4 linked regions of the Caenorhabditis elegans genome follow. The protein of the gene in region 1 purifies or fractionates together with the protein of each later gene. This does not show direct contact. Each region holds a gene or a part of one and is shown on either strand. Other genes may lie near its edges.

Region 1 (4,834 bases):
TACGCTGTTACTTTCGGAAAACACAAACTCTGGGTTCTGCCGAACTTGACTGAAGACTGTGGAGTTCTTGAATCATTCCAACCATGGTATACTTATGAGTATGTTGGTGATGAGAAGAAAGAAGCTAAGAAAGATAAGAAAGATAAAAAGTCGAAAAAAGAAAAGGATTCTGATGCAGAAGAGGAGGAGCAAGACCACATTGCTGCTGAACAGGAGCAAAAAGAGGAAGAAGACGATGATGCTGAAAAAAATAGTCAGGCATCAACTGATGATAATTATGAAAAAATTGAAGACGAGGTAATCTGATAAGTGTTTCAATTTAAATAATTATAATTTTGAAATTTAGGAAATCTCTGCTCCACCATCACCAAGTGACGATGCTCCTCGAAAACGTCGTCCAGCTAAAGTCTAGAAATTTAGTTTATCCTGAAATTTTTCCATTCCACATTTCTGCATTTATGAAAACTTGTCCTGAAAATCTATTGCATTACCCTCATCCTGTCGGTTTCGTCACATTTTAAATACTATTTTTCGTCCCATTCTTCCATACTGTGATTACCCTCTTGGCTAGTTTCTTCTTTCTCAGTCACTCTTCATTGTTCTTGCATAACTAAAATCTGAATGTTTCCGTTTCGGTCCACTATTGGACATATAATAAATTGGTCTATACAAAAGTCAAACAAGATAATTTCTTCATCAAACTTGGCTCATATAACAATAGAAAATTGAATAACTTGAAACATGCCAAAATGAATGTAGAAAATAATGATATAAATATGTGGAGATGGGGGGAGAAAGAGGAAGTACGACCCGTGTTGATTAACACAATTCCGAATCGGACTGATGGAACAAGAAAAGGGAGATAAATGTGAAAAGATGACCATCACAGCACATCAAAAAGACGTGGTTAAAGCATGAATTGTCTATAGAGTGTTCGTAGAATGGAATAACAAACTATTGAGGCCGATTCTGCTGCAACGCTGGCCATTGGGATGCAGACATCATTGGATGTGGTCCAAGAATTCCAGCGCCAGTGTTTGGGGATCCATTGTTTGCGTGTTGTTCTCGAATCGCATTCACATTACGTGGTGGGCATCTGCAAAAAGAATGTTAACAATATTTTAAAATGAGCCAAGTAATTGAAACTCACCCAAATGGAATTGGATTTTGACTCATCGGAGGTTGCTGTAGATTTGGTTGATAATTGTTCTTTTGCATATCATTTCTATTCTGTCCGAATTTTCCTGATTTGTTCTGCTGCTGCTGTGGCTGATGCTGCTGTTTTCTACCATTATTCGGATTGTTCTGGTTGGAATTTCCGTTTTGGTAGAACTGACCATTCTGAGGCTGTGACGAATATGATCGCTGCTGACCTTGCTGCTGCATATTCCTATTCTGATAGTTTTGACCATTGTTGGTCATACATCTATTCTGCATTTGATTCATCAACGGCGGGGGCTTTGCTGTCGGCCCACTGTTGCATGGCATCTGATACATCATCGGCTGTCGATTCTGTCCACGACCAGCACCATTCTGCTGTGGATAACTATTCACCTGATTTCTTTGGTTCTGTTGATTCATCACTTGGCCATTTATAACCTGTTGGTGTTGCTGAGGCGGTTGATGTTGAATCTGTTGGCATTGTTGCTGTTGTTGTTGAATTTGGTGTAGTTGTCCTGCATTCATTTGATGGTGCAGTTGTCCTTGGGGTTGGAAGTTTGGAGGTGGGTAGGCCATGTTTGGTAGATTGTACGGAATGTAGTTCTGAAACTATTAATAGGTTATTTGAATCGTCCATTATTTTGTCATATTTTTATGGTATTAACCAAATAAATCATTCAATTAGAAAGGAGTGGTTACAATCACAACAACAAAAAAACAAACCATTGGCTGTTGGGTAGGCGCCTGATAATAATATATCGCTTGATCATTTTGACCATCACCGTTGCTGTTTTGTGATGTTGTGGAAATAGCTGAGGCTTCATGCGGAACAAACTGATGTTGGGTCTGATTATGATACTGTATCGGAATTTGTACGTTCATCTGCATCATATACTGATTATCCAAATACTGTTGTTGATGAAGCGATTGTTGTTGTAACGTTGGCTGGAAATTTGGTTGCTTCTGTTGAAACCCAGGCGGTCCATTGTAAACTCCGCCGCTCTCCGATACCGATGGTGGTGGCTGCTGAAGCTTTAGATCGGGTTAGGAAAGTAATACAGGTTAGGACGAAAACTGAGTTAAATTCCCTGCTACTGTTTTTATAAACTAACCGTAAAATCTGGAGTATATTGCCGTTCAGGAGGGACAATTTCAGCTGGCTGCTCCATTAATTCGCGGCTCAATTCCTCTCCATAGTGCTCTACCATGTTTTGTTGAGTCATTTTGAGAGTTTCAGGTGATTTGGAGCGATCAATAAACTTGATTTCTTTGATTTCCTGATTATCGGGTTTGTACTCGGTTCCCAAAATTCTGTTACGAGCTGCTTGGTATGCAGCTTGTCGTTCCTCATAAGTAGGAGCAGGTTGTTTTTCCTTTTGATTTAATTTGTGGTGAGAGCGAGATCGGACGTTTGTCACTGGCTGTTCTTCTGTATCTGCAGATGTTGGTGGCGATGCTTCGATGACATTTTCAGATGCAGCAAAACCATCTTTAGGGCGCCGAAGGAACACTCGTTTAGGCTCTTCAGCTGATGGTCCGAGACCTTCTTCTGTCTGGAGTCTGAAAAAATAAAAATTTGATTTGCAAAACGATTAATCGGTTAAATATCAACTTACTTCGAAACGACACCGCTACTCTCTTCTGCTTTTACTTTCTCAAAAAATGCTTCCTTCTTTTCTTCCTTCCGCTGAAGAAGTTTTACCTAAAATCAATATAAATTACATTTCAAATAACTTTATAAACTTTAGAACAAACCTTCTCAACCTTATCCATTAATTCCTTGACTGGATCCGCATCTGCATCATCCCAGCTATCGGCGACAACTAGAGAAACTTTGCAAATATTAAAAATATGATTAGGAACATTTAACTTACCATTTTCTTTACTCATAACGCAATTAGAAACAGAGGAAATGTGTGTGGCTGTAAAACAAAAAATATGGATCAATGAAAAGAGAACGGGCGGCAAAATGAGTGGTGCTCGCGACGGAGCAAGACGGGTCCGTTTTCGGTGGAGAGTGCACGCGGAGAGCGCAAGAAGAAATCGGGAAGTGCGCAAAGACTCGTTCATGACGTCTTTTTTAATGTGTAAAACGAGGGAAATTCAAATTTAGATTTTTTTAGACGACAGAATTTGTCAATTGTTTGGGAAAAATATATTTTAAAAATTAACATTCGTGAAACGAAAAATCTTTAAAAATTTCTGCATGAAAAATGAAATTTGAAACCGTGCGCAGGTTGCAAAACATCACTCGAGGCACGGTTTCGTGGGCGTGGTTACAGTACTCTTGATTAAAGGCGCATGGTCTGTTTTAAACGCCCACTAAGGTTATAGGCACAGAAATTGATTTTTGAAACGAAAAAAGCAATTTTGAACAACTGTAATCAGGTTTTGAGTTCATATTTTCAAAAAAAAAATATTTTACTACATTTAAATCGGTACAGGATTTTGACCTTTCAGTGCCCAGCATTTTCTTTGAAACAATTCATCCCGATCAGCAATAATTCTTTTCGCATTTGCAATTTATTCTATAATTAGATAAGAGGATGACTCGTGGAAGATGGCAAGCGTGCCGCATTATTTCAAACTGATAACACACATTCTCGCTCTCAATCAATTTCCGACTGAAAATCGACCACAGCCTCTTTCGTTTGTCTTGTTGGACGGAAGCGCATTAAAGTATCATGTCGAGCGTTTCAGAGAAAGAGCATCGAATGTAAGTTTTAAGATTTCATATTTGGAGGATTTTTTATTAATTCCAGAATCGATGATTTTGATTATGGGGATAATGTATCTATTATTGATAGATCTGAAATTGTTGATGTGAGTTTAATTATAATTTTTTTGAGACATTATGACACGATTTTGCTAGTAGTTACTTGATTTGAAAATGACTAAAAGATTATTTGGAACATTTTCCTGTTTACTTTGTGCAAATACACAGTAATATTTTTTAGTTTCTAAAATTTACACAAAATTGAATATCCAGAATGAGATGACGTTCCTGAAAATGTCAAACTTCAATTTCTGATGAACAATTTTGTCCAAGTTAGCACCTGTAACGACGAGCACAACTGAGATCGTGGCGGGACCCAATAAGAGATACGACGTGCGCCTTTAAAACAATATTTCACTTTTTTACGAAGTTACGATATGTCGTCAGCGAAATTCAAATGCTTTCGAATAACCACAAAAGCTATTCAGGCTTGTACATTCGAACGCTACTTGAAACAACTAGAATTCATATATTATGAAGAATTTCTGATTCATTAGGATCTGTTTAATTGTAAAAACTTTCAGTGGAGTGCCATAGTTATCAAAATTATTCTGGGACTTGTGTTCATTGGTTTTGCATCTGGATGCATCATATACTCTGTAATCACATGTATGCACAAAAAAACACAAAAATCAATTCTAAAAGTGTATTTTTAGCAGAGGAGTATGTACACCCAGCCGCTATAAACTCAACTTTCTTCTCCTATGATGTCAGTCAACACTGTGACAATGGAACATTGACGTGGTCGAATAGGACAGGATCTATTAATGATTATGATGTAGGTCTAATTATTAACTTGATATTCTCAAGTTTAATTCTAAATAGAAAGATTACAGTATTCCGAAAAGATAATTGAATCAACTTGTAAGATTTTAATATTGAATTCAGAAAGTGACA
Region 2 (7,996 bases), on another chromosome or scaffold:
AGCAACTCCTTTCCCAACACCTTCAGAATCATCACCTTCGTCTCCGTCAAATTCAGCCCCAGCGGGAAGACTTTCCGCCCAATTTGAACAAATTCGTTGATGCTCAGCGCTGGGAGCTCAGGAGCCGACGATGCTGTGGGAAGCTTCTCGACGAGCACTTTGATGTCCTCACTGAAATAAAATATTAGAGTTAAAGCAGGCAAAGTTCGTGAAGATTTCGGCATGAAATATTGTAAAATTAACAAAATGCTAGGCATGTTTCAGATTAAAACCAGGAAATTCGCTTCTGAAAACTGAAATTACGTACATGCTTCGTGCAGAGAACACGAGAATCGCCTGAAAGCATCTGGCAATGATTTCCACGTCGACAGAGCTCATCTCGATCGTCGGCCAGTGTTTTTTCTCGATTCTCGCGAGCTCGTGGAGTCCCGGCAGGCACAACGAGAGAATGCTGGAAAAAATTATATAGAAAATATAAATAGTTCTACTTTACTTACTCGTAAATGTAATTGAGATCATTGGGCTTCTTGCTGAACGATGTCAAGTATACAGGCAGAAACTCTAGCTGCTCGGCGGCCTGGATCCGGTCTTTTGCCATTTTGAGATAGATCAGACTGAAATTCTGGAAAAAATATTAATTTTTTGGGTTATACATCGTCTGGAGAACGCTACAAACCGATGAAATGGCACTCGGGCCTTGGAAAAGTTCGAGCAGACGTGGCACTGGGAGACGGATCGCCAAATTGCTCTTGACGACTTTGTTGAAGTGTGTGAGAAATTCGGTGACCTGGAATCACGAATTTTAGTCATTTTGAATCAAATTTCAGCGAATTTTTGCGTCTTACCAGCTGAATGTGCTCCTGCTTTCTCCCGGCAAACTCCAACACATCGCACAAGTGCCGATCTGTGATAGTTTGTAGCTTGGCGTCCGAGTTGGCGTTGACGAGCCGCAGGAAGACTCTTTCCACTGAAAATTTCAAGTTCATTATGTAAATTAGAAGCTAGACTAGCTTACCATCATTTGCTGAGTCGAGAGACGTCAGCGAAGCTGATTCTCTGGGAGCATCGACTTCCATTGGGCTTTCCATGCTGAAAATACTAAATATTTAGCGTTTTACGAAGAAATTAACGTCGAAAAATGAAGAAATTACACTGAAATTGCTAAAAATTGTTCAAAACAATACGAGAAACTCGGTTTTTCCGCAAAAAGTAAAATGTTCTTGAATTTATTCCAAAATGTCATCAAAAATATTTTTATTTTCAGTCTGCGTCTCTCTTCATCGTGTCAATGGGGCGAACTTGACAAGAGACGTCACAGAACCTTTCTCTACAGAAATTTGAGTCTTGAAAAAAAGACCGAAAAACAGGGGAAATTTTTAAATATTTTTGATGAGCGATAAATTTTAAATTGAGAATTAGTTTTGTTTATTTCAAATTGTATTATCGACAAAGTGTATTGGAAGATAGCGCAGGGAAAGAATTTCTCCGAGTGGGAGTTTCCCCAAAATCTGTGGTGTCAAACAGATAAATATTTCCCAATCGCGAAATTTTGCACGAGAAATGTGGTACCCGGCAAGATAATTTTTTGTCAAATGAAAAAAGTGTGTGCTCCTATGAAGAAATGTCCTATCTTTCTTTTAAGAACAAAATCTGAATTTTGTCAGACCTAATTCAATAAATTGCGGATAAACTTTTTGATTTGGGGAAAATGCTTTTATTCATTGCCCAAAAACTCAACTGTTGAGGCGAAATGTTCATGTTTTACCACTTTCCTTGGAAAAAATCCACTAATTCCCACTATATCGACTTTCCTGAAAACCCCACTGTGTAAAATGCGCGCGGCACACTTGCGAAACCCTGTGCGGCGCACTTGCATAGGGCGGAGTCTCAGGCAATCCCGACGGAAATCGGCGCGTCATTTACCGCATGTGCGTGTCCTCCGCTGTCTGCGTGCTCTCTCGTCTCTCTCTCGAACGTTTTTCAAATTTTTCCGCGAATTTTGTGGATAATTTTCTTCTTGTGGCTCGTTTTGCACGTGGTGAAACCTTGAAAAACGGGATTGTGTTGGAAATTTCAAAAATTTGCCCAAAACTGTTACTCATATTAAACTTCCATTATCGTTGCGAAATTGCTGTTTTTAAAATTCAAATTTTTTCCATTTTCAGGTACATTTCTCCTGTACCCAAACTCTTTGACTGCTCCACAGACAATCTTCTATTTATTTATATTTTATTTGCATCCAAAGTGCGAATGAAAGAAATGGTAAGCGCTGGCAACTTGAAAATTTCTTTAAAAATACAATTTTTCCAGTCAACACCAACGGGTCTTCCTGCGCTAAATGGCGATGTGTTGAGCGCCATCAATGATATGATCGGACGTGTAATTATCATTAATACTACGGACAAAAAGCGATATTCTGGGGTGCTGGGCGCCGTGTCTCAGGATTTCGATTTCGGGATGCAGTGCGTCGTGGAAATTACGAAGGAGAACGAGAATAACTTGCTGAGAACAGAGTCGGAATGCAGAGACAAGATGGTATTTCACTATAGTGATATTGTCGATTTTGCGTACGTTACGCAAGAGATCAAGAAGCAGCATGCTGGTAAGAGCTGTTTCAGGGAACTTTTTCATTAAAAAAAATGCATGACATCTTTAATTTTGGGCCAAGTCGGGTTCACAGTTACGATTTTTAATCCGAAAAAGCTGAAAAACTCTCCATTTTCAGTCAGCAAATTCGTCACCGATAGACAATACCACGGAGATACTCCAATCGAGGGCGAAGAGCTTCAGGAATGGAACGGAGGTGAGGAGGACGGACTCGGAGGATCCATTGAGGACGACGTCGTCGTTGCTGGTGGACAAACCGCCGCTCGTCGCAGCAACAATCACAACAACGGCACCGGATGGTCGGTCAACGACATGTTCGCCGCCAACGAGAAGATGAACGTGGTGTCGACGTTCAAAGAGGATTTAACGCAATACACAACGTAATTTATTTGAATTTTTTCGCTTGAAAAATCCAGGATTTTCGGAGTCTGCAAGCGTTTTTGGGCATCTGAATCTATTTTTTTCAGTTTTGCCTTGAAAAAATCTTGTCACTGAACCATTTTTGCAAAATTTTGCATAAAAATGTCCTGAAAGTTGATAATTGACAATTTTCAGGTTATTTTTAAGCATTTTTTCGAATATTTCTACCGAAATCAGTGTTATTCTCTGATGGATCAAGTGCTTTCCTATATTTTGACCCGATTTTTTAATTTTAATTTTGGAAAACATCGTGCAAAGCAATAAAATCCCAAATTTCAGCGTCGAAGTGGTAGGAACCGACGAAGATCGAGCACGCGCCGAGCGGCTCGCTAGAGAAATTGAGTCCAACTCGTCGTCGAAGTTTATGGCGAACTTGGAGAACGACGACGACGAGCGAGATTTGGACAAAATCACGCGTCAAGAGGATTTCGAGAATGGCAATGGCCGAAAGCGGTTGGAATTCTTTAAAAATTTGAATTTATTAATTTAAAAATTTATTTGTTTCAGCAATAATAACAGCTTCAACCAGCAACAACAACAGCGCCGCAATCCGAATATTGCACCAAACGGGCAGCCAGTGAATCGACGTGCCGAGGGTCTTCGCGGAGATCGTCGTAATAGTGGAAGCTCTTCAGCGAACAATAGTCGCTACGGTGCTCCAGCAGCGGCTCAGCAGAACTATTCACAGAATCAGCAGCAGCAGCAAGGTCAAAAAGGTTATCGCCGCCAGAACGAGGAAAATGGTTCGTGTACATTCCCGAGAGTACAGTGTGTCTCTTTGATCATTATCTCTCTCTCGTTCTCTTTCTCCGCGTCCAACAGTTCTTTTTTCGGTGTATTCCGTTTTCTTGACCCATTTCGCATGACATAATTTCGCTAGCGGCTGCAGCGGTTGTCTTCAGCTGATTAATTGGAGTGTTTTTCCTCGTGGGATGCGGAAAAAAGCGATTTTTTTTTTGCAAATTTTCAGCAAAAAAATCAGATTTTTCCCATCAGAAAACCAATTTTTCATTCTTTCCTCACATTTTGATCACAGAAATACGAAATAATTCTGCAATAGTGTTATTTTCAGTGGAAAAATCGTTTTTTTTTCCGATTTTTGACTGAAAAACGTTTTCTTTGTGTCAGAAAAAACAAGTAAATGCCGATTTTTAAGTGAAAACGCCGAAAAAAAAAATTGAAAAAATGACCGAACGGGTCCCAGTTTATCCATACAAACACACCTGCGTCTCTGATACATGCTTTCATCAAGTCTCTCTCTCTACCTCTGTCTACCTCTCTCTCTCTGTCCGCTTCCTCACCGCTTATCATCTTCATCATCATCATCACAAGTTGGTTGTGTTCTTCTCGAAAAACCGTGTTGTCTATGTTGTGTACCAATCGATCGTTAGGGAGGCGCCACACTTTCTCTCTCTCTCTCATTCCTTTCCGCTCTCTTTTTTCTCGGTGATTTTTTGTTGTTGTGTGTGTGTCTGAATGATGATGAAACATGCGATCGTTCATACCTTTTTTGCCTCCTTTGCAGCTTCACCAGTCCTCAGATCCTTCTAGATAATGGAAATTCCACAGTTTTCGAAGTTTTTAGTGTCTTTTAAAAGAAATCTTGATTTAAATTCCTCTTGAAAATCTGTCAGAATCAGATCAAGAGCATTTTGGTATAGCGTTAAAATACTGTAACCGGTCTCGACACGACATATTTGTGTTTAATGGTATGCACCTTTAAAGAGTACTGTATTTTCAAACTCTTTTTGCTGCGAAATTTCTGTTTTTTCATAGTTTCATATGAATATTCCACAGCAACAAGAGTTTGAAATATTTTTTCAAGGCGCCCACCCTTTTGCATTAAACAAGCTTGTCGTGCCGAGACCGGGTAACGTATTTTTGGTAAAAATTCGATTTTTGATTCCTTAGAAAACAATTTCCGTCGTTTTTGTTTAAACAATGACTCATTCTACTTAATTTTCAGACTGGCAGATGGCCAAGGGGAAGGGCCAGAACCAGGGCCACGACCACTCGTTCCGTCAACAGCAGAAGCAGATGCTGGATCCGAGACCCAACAACAATGTGAAGCCGGCTGACGATAAAGCTCAATCTGCCACCACTGCCACTGCTGCTGCCGGTGGATCCCGTGTGACAGATCTCAAGAACTGGGGCAACGAGTTTTCGATTGCGACGGCTCCAAAGGATCAGGCTCCGGCGGTGCCAGCTGGAAACTCGGGTAGTGCCTGGAATCGCGGACCACCGAGCTCGCTGGTTGCCAAGGGATCATCAAATGAGTCGACTCCACCACCGACAACCAATGGAGAGGAGGCTGAGACTAAAAAAGGTATCTATTTTCTATTTTTCTCAACAAAAATGAACAATTTTGCCAATTTCCAGAAGAAGCTCCATCCACAAGCGTCGATGTGGCAGCTGCACCAGTGCAAAACGTACAGAACGACGCGGAAAAGCATCAGGAAGACGACAATGTTTCCGTTACTTCAGAGAATGATTCAGTGATCACTTCGAAGTCATCGTCGTTCAAATTCAACATCAATGCTCCAGAGTTCAAGCCACGTGTGGCTCCGGCGACTCCAACAGCGACGACTCCAGTGCAAAATGGTAGGAAAACGAACAAAACGGCTTTTTTTCAGTATTTTTGTATCAAAAATTAATACAGAAATGTATGTAGAAAAAAGATAATTTTTGTTGAAAGGTTTGAGAAAGATCTCAAATTGTGTCATTTGAGAGGGAATTTTTAAACCAAAATAAATATTTTTCTAAATACACATAGGTATCAATTTTTGATACAAAAATTTTGGCTGCCAAGACGGAGTTTTAACTCTAAAATTTTCAGAATATCATCCACAACAACAGCCACATCCAGCAATGATGGCTCCACAACAAGGACCACCTGCTCCTGGAATGGGAATGGTTCCACCACACATGGGCGGCCCACAAAATCAAGGTCAACCACCGATGATGATGTGGCAACAGACTGGACAACAGCAACAAGGCGGTGGCGGCTATCCACAGAATCATCAATTCCCAATTCAACATGTCCCAATGCAAGGTGTTCCTGGACAGATGTATGGCCCGGGAGCTGCGACTCCGGTCACTGTTGCTCAGCAGCCAAATCAGCAGCATCAGGTGCCAACCAGTGCGGCTGGTGGTCAGAATCATCAGTTGAGAGATGGAGAGTATCGTGAGAAGCAGCCACTCTACATGCCATATGGACCGCCACAAATGGTTCCAGTCACATCTCAGGTAACCGAAAATTTGGAATATCCCTGTAGAAATAGGGAAAACATTTATTTTTAAAGGCCTTGAATTTTTAGAATTTTAAACTTTTCCTAATCTAAAATTCCTGATTTCTCAATTCCAAAAATTCTAAATTTTTTCAGCAATTCTATCATTCACAGTACCAAGGCCAGATGCAGCAAGCTGCTCCATACCAAATGAAGATGATGCCACAGCAAGCTCCACAGGGTGCCTATCAACAGAGATATCAGCAGCCACAAGTGTACATGATGCCTCCACAGGGTCAGCAGCAGCAGCCGAGATACCAGGGTCCTCCACCACCACAGCAACAGCAACAGCAACAACCGCAGCAACAACAATTCTCCGGAGAGCAAAGTCGCCCACAATCACATCCGAATAGTCAGCCAACGACTCCGGGACCACGTGGCGAGTTGCCAAAGATGAGCGGTGCTCCACAGGTGAGATTTCTTTTTTTTTAAACTTATTCGCATGTTTCCCTCTTTCAAACTTTCTGTGCCTAATAAGATGAAGCTTTTCAATATTGTGACCGTGACTCTATTTTCAGAACGGAAACATGCAGGCCGAGTCGAGCAGCAACGCTAGTCACAGCGGATCGACGAGCTCTCAGTCGGGACAACGAAGCGGATCTCCACCAGGTGCTGTTCCTCCACCACCACCACCACAGCAGCAGCATCAGCAACAACAACATCCACCACATCATGCTCCTCCACACGTCGGAGCACCACCACCACAGATGATGCAGCAGCAGCAGCAACACATTCAACAGTATATGGTGATGCAGGGACCGCATCAAATGCATCCGCAGATCCCTAATTACTATCAGCAGCCTCAGGCATGTTTAATCTCTCTCTTTCTTTCCTTTTTTCAGTGGTATTTTTGATTTTTGGTTTTCTTGTTTTTTTTCCTTTCTTTCAGAAGTTTCAGAACAAAATTGTGATTGACTCTGCTAAATTTTTGTAGATCTGCAAGTTCTACAGCTGAAATCGCCCAGTGAAAAAGGAGAAAAAATTGCCTAATGTTTTTTTTCATACTTTTTTTCTTAAAAATAGCGAGAAAGTTTCGATTCCGACTGTAGAACTTGAATGTGCCCAAATCAACGAAAAATTGGCAAATTTTAGCTGAGATCTCCTATTTCGGCAATTTTTCTGGATAGATTTTTTTTTTGAATTGAATTTTGAGATTTTATTTAAAATTACCATTTTTTGAGAAATATTTGAAAATGTCTCACACTCTATAAAAGAACAAAACCGAGAAAAAAACGTAAATCTAATTTTCAATCATTTTCAGCAAGTATTCTATCCGATGATAATGCCCCAACAGATGCCAATGCAACAGAACCAACATCCTCAACAAAGTCTTATGGGCGAGCGATCTGATCAAGGATTCCCGACGTCGGGATACTTTGACTACCGTACAATGCCAAACTATCAGCAACAACAACAACAGCAACAGCAACAAATGCACCGCCAGAATTCGCTTCCACAGCAGTTCCAAGGCAATCAAGGTAATGTTTTAAATGTTTATAAAGTTCAAATTTCTAACCGTTTATGAAGCTTTGAAGGTGTAAATCCATCTGGTCAACAATCTGGTCCACCACCACCGCCACCACCGTCTCAACAAGGCACACCACGTGATCAGCAGCACTCTCAGAGCCCCCCGTAATCATATCTATATGCGCTCTTCCTGCGCTTTTCAGTGCTTTATATAA
Region 3 (5,498 bases), on another chromosome or scaffold:
CATGTGTTACCGGAAATCAGTGATTTTTGCGCCAAAAAACGGTACTGGGTCTCGACAGGACATTTTTCGCTAAATACAAACGGATGTGCACCTTTAAAGAATACTGTAACTTCAAACGTTGTTACTGAATTTTCATCGATTTTCCAATGAAAATTCTAGAACGGCGAAAGTTTGAAACTACCGTACTCCTCAAAGGGGCACACCTTTTTGCATTTAACAAAATATCTTCGTGTCGAGACCAGGTACCGTCATTTTAGCGCAAAAAAACGTTCGAGTTTGAGTAATATACGAACTTTGCCATTGACAGAATTCCAACAGCATTCTCCGGATTGGCACGCAACTTGCATTGTGTAACAAGATTTACTGCATCCTGTTGAGATTGGAGCCGAGTTGGTTGGAAATCTCCGTTGCGCATGTATTCCGAATTGTCGACACTGAAAAGTAAATAATATTGCCATTGTTCGTATTATTCAAGAAAAACTCACCAAATCATAGTACTTTCTTGAACCATTTTGGAAATGTGTTGAGCACCTTTGTATGAACTCTGTAGAATGTGAGAAATAAAATTAAATTTAAAACAGTTTGACGAATAAATGAAGGAAGATATTAAACGGTGATTAAACCGTGAGCAAATAAATTAAAAATTATTTGAAGAATCAAATACAAATAAAATCGATTTTTTTCAAACAACAAAACAAGAATAACAAAAATAAAGAATTGAAACACATTAAATCTAGTCTGATTGATTATTAGAATTCTAATGTGGAGTTGTTGGTGCATGCTCTTTCATGTGCTCGAAAATTGGGAAATCTTCCGTGAAATCGTTATTTTTACTGTACAATGGGAACTCTTTTCGGATGGAATATCGAGCCAATTCCTCGTCACGTGGTGTTGTCAGTGTAGGAGAAATCATCTGAAAAAGGGAAATTCAATAATTTTCTACAACTTTTCAATCTTTACCTGTTTGGATTCATCTACTGAAATATGTGTAATCCTTCCTAACATAGGAACAATGTATTGTTGATTTACAACAACGTAGAATCGGAATAGTTTTGCTTCGATATCAAAATTCGGGCCAGAAATTGGTTTAGCGGCGAGGAAAATTGTATTTTCAGCAACGAAAACTCCCATTTGACGAAGTGAGCTTTTTACAAGATTCCTATCAATCGTCCATTGATTTTCCATATTAACTTTGATTGGAATGACCATTTTTTGCAAATCTCGTCCAACCACTTTGAGCTCATATGGAATTCTGATTCGAGAAGCAAGTTCTTCAGCCATTCGCTGAAATTATTATTTGATTGAAAAATATAAATTAACATTAAAACCCACTGTTTTCATATCTGAATAGTACTTTAAATCAAACGGCGACGCGTAGACGGCTTTTTTAGATAATAGTAAATCCTTTCGGGCCAAAGTCCGATCCACACTAACCACATCGAACTGATGGCCAATTCCTGTAAAAATGAATTTTTTACATTTGCTTTCTTTTATTTTAAAAAACTACCTTCAACATCTTGAAGTAAAATCACATTAATCGGACCAGCGGATTTTTGTGTTTCGAACTCAACAACTTCGTATTTCTGGTAATCGTGGAAATCATTGGGATTTTTCTGTACTCCGCCGGGCGGTGTGACTTCTGGTTGGAATACTCGGCGCAATACCCATGTGTTCTGAAGAAAAACATAAAATAACTTATTAATTGCTTCAGAACTTACTCGGCTTGCCTGGCGATTAATATGTTGCACAAATCGATGAAGCTGTGAAGCTGAAAGCATAATTACCTGAAAATATCAATTTTAATTAAGTGTTTCGCTGAAAATAAAGTGATTTCATTCTAAAATACAGAAATAGATGAGAAAAGAAAATGCGCGCCGTTGTCGATGATGACAAATTTAAAGGCACACCGACTTTCGCAGCGGGAATATCTCACCACGCACGAGTTCACATTTGGTTTTTTCTCTGCGCTCTCTCGCATTTGCGTACTCTTTTCATGTTCTGGCATGTATTTTCAAAATTATTCGGGTTTTATCAGTTTTCCCGAGATTTTACTATTTCTACTGAAAATTTCGTTCTAATAATTCAATTATAACAGCCGTTTTGTCAAAACTTGCTCAAAAATAACGTGTTACTTGTTTCAGATCGTTATTCTTGGGAAATGCCTCCGATTCCTAGCCGGGCGAGGGTCTACGCCGAGGTGAGCAAGTTTGTATAGCCAGGAGTTAATTATTGAACAGAATATATTGCTCATACATAACTCACAATGACGGAATTAACGTTATCCGTTTAGTTGTGGAATACTGTGAAACACTGTACGCCACATTTGTTAGATTTTATAAATGTTCATAGGAATTTATAGTCTCGTAAAGAAAAACTATTTGTAAAAGTCACTAAATTATGTTTTTATGAGTTTATATATTATAAATCACAATTGTTTCAGGTGAATCCGTCGAGACCACGCGAGTACTGGGACTATGAGGCTCACATGATCGAATGGGGACAAATCGATGATTATCAGCTGGTACGCAAGTTGGGACGTGGAAAATATTCGGAGGTTTTTGAAGGATTCAAGATGAGCACTGACGAGAAAGTTGTTGTCAAGATTCTCAAGGTAAGTTTTACAAAAATAATTGTAATAAAGCTTTCAAAATGTAATTTGTTTGTTTTCAGCCAGTCAAAAAGAAGAAGATCAAGCGTGAGATTAAAATTTTGGAGAATCTTCGTGGCGGGACAAACATCATCACCCTCCTCGACGTCGTCAAGGATCCTATTTCGAGAACTCCGGCTCTTATTTTCGAGTTGGTTTACTATTTGAAGATTTTTAGAATTAATAATTTCTATTTGAAGGCATGTTAACAATTCGGACTTCAAGCAATTGTATCAAACCCTCAGTGACTATGATATCCGTTACTACCTCTACGAGCTCTTGAAGGTACTTTTTTCAGCTGTCCATTAATTTTTGAATTCATAACGTTTCAATTTATTCTCCAGGCTCTCGACTTCTGCCATTCTCAAGGAATTATGCACAGAGATGTTAAGCCGCACAATGTGATGATTGACGCCGAAAAACGGGAACTTCGATTAATAGATTGGGGATTAGCCGAATTCTATCATCCAAGACAGGACTATAATGTTCGTGTTGCTTCTAGATATTTCAAGGGACCCGAGCTTCTTGTCGATTATCAATGTTACGATTATTCGTTGGATATGTGGAGTTTGGGATGCATGTTGGCTAGTATGATCTTCAGGAAGGAACCATTCTTCCACGGCCATGATAACTACGATCAGGTAAGCACTTTAAGCTGAAGTAGCAAAGAACCGCAAATCCACAAATTTCATTAAAATCCAATATTGGAATATAGAAAACATTTGATTTATCTGATTATGGCTTTTATTTCAGTGAGAACAATGGGGAAAAACGCTTAAAAAATTACCGGAAAGTTTAAAATTTCCGAAAAAAACCGAAAATTTTCCAATTTTGAGCATTTTTCAATTGTTCCAGCTGCAAAAAACTATTTTCAGATAAAGAAATTATTTTTTTGAATTCCATAGCTAAAATTTTACTGATAAGTTTGGCTTATTCCGTAGAATTTCTTGCCGGCGATTGATTCGCACCCCTGAGCTGAAATTTAAATGAATAAATAATATTGTCAGGTATTTATTAAATATTCATCAATAATTTTTATGATTTTTAATATTTTATAAATTCACGAAATCTGATTTTCTTATAAAAAGTTTTTTGCAGCTAGTCCGCATTGCAAAGGTATTGGGAACTGATGAGCTTTACGAGTACATTGCGAGATATCACATTGATCTCGATCCACGCTTCAACGATATTCTCGGGCGACACTCAAGAAAACGCTGGGAAAGGTATATTTTGATCGAAGCGAAGTTTCATGTTTTTCTTAAAATTCATTTGTTGTAGATTTATCCACGCTGAAAATCAACATCTTGTCACCCCAGAGGCTCTTGATTTCCTTGATAAACTTCTTCGCTACGATCACGCGGTAAGAATCGGAAAAAAGAGAAATTACACCAAATTAGTTACTGAAAACCAGTTTTAACAAGAACACAGAGAAATAAAAACAATTTTCACTTGTTTTATTGAAAAAAAAGACATTTGATACTCGAAACTAACTATAAATACTTTTATTTGTTAAATTAATTTATTTCCAGAACTTTTAATAAATTTCACCATATTCAGGAACGCCTAACTGCTCAAGAGGCCATGGGTCACGAATACTTCCGCCCAGTTGTTGAAGCACATGCTCGTGCCAATGGAACTGAACAAGCTGACGGACAGGGTGCATCGAATTCCGCTTCTTCTCAATCCTCCGATGCCAAAATTGACGGCGCTTAAAATTTCTTTCTATTTTTTTTTTAATTTTCCTGTTGACTATTTCCTTTTTTATTAATTTCCACACCACTCCTCTCCATCATTATTCCTTTGCTCTAAAAATTGGCTAAGATATTAAATCTTCCCCGCTTCTCCGAAAATTTCCCTCTACGTACCACAAAAGTGCCTAATCTTTTCGTGAGAAACGTTCTTTGCAAATTCTATTTTTAGGATTTTTTTGTGTAATTCATGCCTCTGAAATTCCGTTTCAATTTTAAATCTTTTTTGTCCCATTTCATATTGTTCTCCTTCTTCTCCCCTTTCCTCTTCCTCAAACAACCACAATCATCATTTTTATAAATCGAATCACAGTTCGTGAGAAAAAAAACTGTTACTTGTAATCAATATTGTCTTTGGTTTGAAAAACCTACTATTGTTCCTATGTTGAGTTGTGAACTATGTTCACTTTTAGAGTTTTAGATTTAAAATGCTCAACGGACGAGTGCTCCTTCGATCGATTGCTCGCCGGACAATGGCATCGAAAATTGAGCCAGGATCTCCGCAGCCGATTTATTTGGATGTTCAGGCTACCGCGCCAATGGTAATTAAATGGAAATAATAAAGCATGATTAAAAATAATATAAAAAACTTGTATCTGGAAAAAATTAACGAAACTTTTCAGATACAATTTAGATTTCGAATGAGTTTTTTTCTAACCTAGGCACAGTTTAAGCTAGTAGGCATTCTAAAATTGCGGCTTATGGCCTAAAAAGGGCCTAAGCGAACAAAACCAGCAATAAATTATGATAATTATATGAAAACTGATTTACGACAGCGCTGCGACACTGAAAATATGACATTTTACAATACTTTGAACCCATATAATATTTTTTTTTTTATTTTTCATAAATTTTCAGAACATTTCATTGCGAAATTCAGTAGTTTGAGACCATTTTTGGTATTTAAAAAACCAATTTCTCAGTTTTCGGTTCTCTAAATGTGACTAAATTATTTTATTTCCAATTTAAGTGAAATCGTAGCTTAAGAAACTAGGAAAAAAATGTGCTGGGATTTTTTTTGAAATTCCAAATTTTAATATTTTACAGGATCCTCGAGTAGTCGACGCAATGCTTCCCTATATGATCAATGATTTCGGAAATCC
Region 4 (4,655 bases), on another chromosome or scaffold:
GAGATATTTTGCGCGTCAAATATGTTGCTTCAAAGTCATAGAATTTGAGAAAAAGTGCACTATATATATTTTTTGCTGCAAAATTGAAAAAAAAAACCGAGCAAATTTTAAACAATTATATACGTTTTACAGTTAGATTATGTATACTGAAACGGTTTTCTGCAATTTTAAGAATTTTCAAAATATTGAATTTTGATAACCAAGAATTACGGAAAAACTTAGAAAAGCTTACAATGTTCCTTCACTGGTCCAAGTATATTGTCTTCCATGTGCTGTCATCGATGGACACTTTGAATCGGTACATTCGGATTCGCAGAGAACTCCGAAAACCATTCGAACTTGATTTACCAGATCGATTACTGAAAAAATGCGCTTTTTTTTTGGAATTTTTCAAAAATAAAATTAAAAAAGAAAACTTATAGAAACTGTATGTTTCCGCTTTTTTAAAGGGAGAACCAAAATTGAGAAATAGTCTCGCCGCGCGTCAGTGTTTATTTGTTTTCGTGTACGCGCCTTTAAGATTACTGTAGGAAATTTATCCAATTTTTTGTATTTTTTGAGAAAATTGGATCAACTCGAAAAAAATCACAATTAGCAGTTTTTGTTTTATTATAAATTATTTTTTGTTTTATTACAAATTATTATTACCAAGCTGTGCAAAAAAATGTCAAAGTTTTTTTTAGCAAAAACTTACTATTTACGGCGAGCCATTCATTTTTATCTTCCCCTGGTGGAAGTTTCAGAGCGTCACGAAGATTTCCACTTCCTAACGTTGAAACTGCCATTGGATTGCACCATGATGAACTTGGTTCACTCATTTTCTGGAACCAAAATAATTCGATTTAAAGTTTTTTCTTTCACCAAGACAAGTATTGTTTTATGCTTTCTACATTGCAATCGAAAATTCAAAACTTTGATGTGGACACAGTTTATTGATCATTGATGATAAACAAAATGTTGATGGGGCAAAAATAATATTATAATTAAACAAAATGGGGGAATAAAATAGTGGAAAAGGGAGAGATGTTGTCCATTCGCATTTTGTGATAATAATCATAAGAAACAAGGAAGACGGGAAGTGGTGAAAAGGATGGGATGGAGGGGAAAATAGTGTAAGAATATGGAAGGAAAAGAAAAAGAGTAAAGAAATGTTGGAAGCGAACGCCGTACAGCGCGTGCGCGGAGAAGATCGCAACTTTTCTCACACGGGGATGACTGAAAAGAATATTGATTGCTTCATTGAGTGAAGGAAGAGAACCGAGTGCTAAGGTTGACACGAGATGTCGGAGATATTTTTTCAGTAATGGCTAATGATTCCGCCAAACTCTTCCCACCACATTAATTTACATGAACAATGAAATTTTCATCCCTATCATCGCATCATTTGAGAAGAGAAGCACGGTTTGATCGCCTAAATTTTGGTAGAGGACAAGAGAATGGAACAAAAAAGATAGATGAAGAACACAACAATCATTTCGAGCAACTTCAGAAGAGATGGGATTGTCAAATAGGATGGTGTTGGGCAACGATACAAAAACAACGATATTCTATATAATGACTGAAACGATGAAAAAGAGGAAAAGTGAGAGAAAGTATTGAAATTAATTGGGTAAGGGGGATAATACGGAAAAAAAAGAAAATGAAAACGGCGATTTGAACGGAGGTATCTATCTACAGGAAGTAGTCAGGCGTTCTGCGAGTAACATGTGGTTCTCCTCTTCGAGGGGCAGGGTCGAATTGCAAGAACGAATATTTGAGATCGTCGTCCAGCTCCACCATCGCTGCCTGATTTCCACAACGATAGCAGTAGTTTGGTGCTGAGAACACTGTTACCACGTTACGATCGTGACTCCAGTTGTATCCCTAAACATATTTATATCATTGCAAAATTATATCGATTTGAAATAATTTCTCACCTCCATGACAAGTTGATGGGCCCGAGAAATTAGAGTAAGTCCATTGGAATGGTTGAACGTCTCCGAGATATCCTGACCGAATGTGTATCCTGCTCCACGTGGAGAGATTCCCCAGCCACCTCTGTCATCTGGATCAGACCAGAGAAGATCGCACATTGGTCCTTCGTGTGGAACCTTTAAAAATATATGATTTTCGGTGATGAAAATGTTAGAACTTTTCTATTATTGAAATATTTCAGGCTAGTAACTATTAAAGGTAGATTTCCACAATAACTTACCTCTTGAATGCGGTCAAGAGCTCTGATGTGATCAAGAGTATCAATAGACGGTGAAAGACCTCCGTGAAGGCAGAAGATTTGACCATCAACAAGAGCGGTAAGTGGGAAACAGTCGAAGAGATCAGTGAAGTACTTCCACACATTCGAGTTTCCATATTTCCTCAAACACTCGTCATAGAACCCGTAGACCTAACAAGAAAATAATAATTTTTGAAATAAATTGATTTTAATTACCTGAGTGATTTGTCGCGACTCGTGATTTCCGCGGAGCAGTGTTACTCGATCCTTGTATCGAATCTGAATTTTTAAAGATGTTATAATAATTTCCATACTATATTGTGATAACTGTACCTTCAAACAGACAAGCAGACTAACTGTTTCGACGGAATAATACCCCCGGTCGACGTAGTCTCCCATGAAAAGGTAATTCGTGTCAGGACTCTTTCCACCCATTTTGAACAGCTCCATCAGATCGTGGAATTGACCGTGAACGTCACCACACACTGTCACAGGGCACCGGACTTCTTGCACATTCGGCTCTTTTTCCAAGATCTCTTTCGCCTTAAAAAAATTAATTTTTGACAATCACAAAACTGTATCAACAAACCTTTTCGCATAACGTTTTGACTTGATTCTCCGATAGTGGTTTACATTCGTATAACTGCTCAATCCACTGATCTACATCGACGATTAGTGCTTTATCAAGCGGATCCGCAGATGGTGGGGCAGCAGCCATACTACTGAAAACTTATTTGTTGGTCAAGAAATTAGAAGTATAAAAAAGTTTGAATGATAAGAACGCATAGAGAAAGAAGAAAGACAACGTGGGCAGCTATAGCAACGGAGCACGAGTCGGAGAAAGCGTGAAGAGCAGAAACTCACGCTGTTGCCTCACAGTCAATACTTTTCAGCGGATTCTTCTTTCCGTATAAACTGATAGGATTGCAAGACAAAAGGGATTAAGTGCCCCTTGCTCCAACAGCATCTTATAACGAAAAAGAAAACGTCACAATTGGAGGAGAGACAGTTAATGAAATGATGTAAAGCACAAGTTTTAAAAAAGACGGAAAATCAATCGTGAACAGGTTAAGAAAAGAAAACAAGAACATAGAAATAAAATGTGTAGTTTTTATGGATTATTTTTCAATGTTACTAAATGCCAGACCGGATTAGTTACTAGTGTCAAAAAGTGTCCATTCTCAATTTTAGACGAAGAAGTGAAAGATGAACAACAATCACGCGCTGAAAAATATTCATAGGAAAAAGAGGAAATCGATAACTCGCTGTTTGCGTTTCTACCTCCCACCAAACCATACGGAATTTCATTCCGTTCCGATAAGGCAAAGAACAAATGTTGTTAATTATGTTTCACAATAGGGGTCAATCTATGTTCTAACGAGAATTAAAATATTTTAATTGTTAGGCAAACGTTGATACGGTAAAAAACCTAATTATGTAACTGAAACTCTTCAAATGAAAAAAAAAATCATAAAACTGTGTTTTTTTTGCCTTATTTTCGGTGAATCATAATCAATATTCAATGGGCAAAAGCCAATTGTAATGGGAACACGTGAGAACGGAATAAATGAATTTAACATTAGTGGAAGACATCAAAATGATAGAGAACGCGGGATGATCGAGTACGACAAAATTGTTGTTTTGTGAGGAGAGCGAGGCGGAGAAAGCAGGGCTGCAGAGAGATGCGGGGCCCGCCAATTGGGCAGTGACGGAGGATCAGACGACAGATAGCGAAGGAGCAGCGGCACTCCTGTGCTATAACCAGCCGAGGAACCAATCGCATTGCGAAAGTGACGGAGAAAGAGATGAAAAAGAAAAGATATAAGGCAGAGGAAAGAGCGACCGCATCGCAAGGGCTCGCGTCGCGGTTCACTGCGCTCTACTGAACACCCTCACTGTCTGTTGTTAACAAGACGGAGAGAAGTGAAGAAGTCCTCTTCCTGAACCGATGTTTTCGTTTATTGGCGTTATCGCTGAAGGCGACAACGACGACAGCAGAGGCGTTGTGTGCAGAAAGGAGGTGTGAAAAGGCGAGGATTTAGAGCTCTGGTGACGTGCTAGGGACGGCCAAGTTATGATAGAGGGGCGTACTGAAAAAAATGTTCGAGGTAGAATATTTCTAGAAAAATACATTTCATAACCCAGCAGAATCATGATGACTCATTTATGCGAAATTTCAGAAAAAACGGTATGTTTTAGAAGATGAAACTATCGATTGGCAACTAACGAAGGTTAATGATGTCCGATTTTTTAAATTATTATGTAACAAAATCATTGTTGAAAAAGACCGAAAACTTCAGACAGAAAAAAAAACTGGTGAGCTAATTATAATTCAAATTAAAAGTAGGAATACGATCTAGCGGAATGACAATAGTTTGTTACTAACGGCTCCAGTAACTGAATCTAGTAAACAATATGATTGAAACCGGAGATTTTCAGCATC

What was found.
Region 2: the proteins of szy-20 (region 1) and atx-2 purify together in Caenorhabditis elegans (affinity purification with western blotting; one study listed by BioGRID). This does not show direct contact.
Region 3: the proteins of szy-20 (region 1) and kin-3 purify together in Caenorhabditis elegans (affinity purification with western blotting; one study listed by BioGRID). This does not show direct contact.
Region 4: the proteins of szy-20 (region 1) and let-92 purify together in Caenorhabditis elegans (affinity purification with western blotting, with the first as the bait; one study listed by BioGRID). This does not show direct contact.

What each region holds. Positions count from the first base shown.
Region 1 is NC_003280.10:8,966,243-8,971,076, forward strand, and holds szy-20 (SUZ domain-containing protein), read right to left. Parts: upstream 3,086-4,834; 5' UTR 3,052-3,085; coding exon 3,036-3,051; intron 2,994-3,035; coding exon 2,917-2,993; intron 2,864-2,916; coding exon 2,778-2,863; intron 2,722-2,777; coding exon 2,274-2,721; intron 2,194-2,273; coding exon 1,885-2,193; intron 1,765-1,884; coding exon 1,151-1,764; intron 1,097-1,150; coding exon 955-1,096; 3' UTR 679-954; downstream 1-678. Other genes in the region: sec-62 (Translocation protein SEC62), read left to right, coding at 1-297, 347-412; C18E9.5 (uncharacterized protein), read left to right, coding at 3,846-3,877, 3,924-3,984, 4,462-4,546, 4,594-4,715, 4,826-4,834. UniProt on the Caenorhabditis elegans protein: RNA binding protein that is required for normal cell division and cytokinesis during embryonic development.
Region 2 is NC_003281.10:10,459,463-10,467,458, forward strand, and holds atx-2 (Sm domain-containing protein), read left to right. Parts: upstream 1-1,926; coding exon 1,927-2,262; intron 2,263-2,310; coding exon 2,311-2,602; intron 2,603-2,725; coding exon 2,726-2,987; intron 2,988-3,306; coding exon 3,307-3,480; intron 3,481-3,534; coding exon 3,535-3,770; intron 3,771-4,993; coding exon 4,994-5,353; intron 5,354-5,406; coding exon 5,407-5,628; intron 5,629-5,863; coding exon 5,864-6,273; intron 6,274-6,410; coding exon 6,411-6,725; intron 6,726-6,832; coding exon 6,833-7,124; intron 7,125-7,579; coding exon 7,580-7,792; intron 7,793-7,841; coding exon of another isoform or gene 7,842-7,849; coding exon 7,850-7,950; downstream 7,951-7,996. Other genes in the region: ecps-1 (Proteasome component Ecm29 N-terminal domain-containing protein), read right to left, coding at 1-171, 308-451, 498-622, 677-787, 846-967, 1,016-1,088.
Region 3 is NC_003279.8:10,731,881-10,737,378, forward strand, and holds kin-3 (Casein kinase II subunit alpha), read left to right. Parts: upstream 1-2,141; 5' UTR 2,142-2,158; coding exon 2,159-2,197; intron 2,198-2,262; exon of another isoform or gene 2,263-2,376; intron 2,377-2,440; coding exon 2,441-2,611; intron 2,612-2,670; coding exon 2,671-2,798; intron 2,799-2,847; coding exon 2,848-2,932; intron 2,933-2,991; coding exon 2,992-3,288; intron 3,289-3,745; coding exon 3,746-3,870; intron 3,871-3,925; coding exon 3,926-4,007; intron 4,008-4,204; coding exon 4,205-4,360; 3' UTR 4,361-4,735; downstream 4,736-5,498. Other genes in the region: rpn-10 (26S proteasome non-ATPase regulatory subunit 4), read right to left, coding at 294-434, 486-511; mrpl-9 (Large ribosomal subunit protein bL9m), read right to left, coding at 758-913, 961-1,284, 1,333-1,457, 1,508-1,673, 1,719-1,778; nfs-1 (cysteine desulfurase), read left to right, coding at 4,869-4,937, 5,443-5,498. UniProt on the Caenorhabditis elegans protein: Casein kinases are operationally defined by their preferential utilization of acidic proteins such as caseins as substrates. The alpha chain contains the catalytic site. May participate in Wnt signaling.
Region 4 is NC_003282.8:11,856,721-11,861,375, reverse strand, and holds let-92 (Serine/threonine-protein phosphatase 2A catalytic subunit), read right to left. Parts: upstream 2,935-4,655; 5' UTR 2,931-2,934; coding exon 2,802-2,930; intron 2,756-2,801; coding exon 2,546-2,755; intron 2,492-2,545; coding exon 2,429-2,491; intron 2,384-2,428; coding exon 2,195-2,383; intron 2,091-2,194; coding exon 1,917-2,090; intron 1,864-1,916; coding exon 1,672-1,863; 3' UTR 916-1,671; downstream 1-915. Other genes in the region: mob-1 (Mob1/phocein), read right to left, coding at 233-359, 695-818.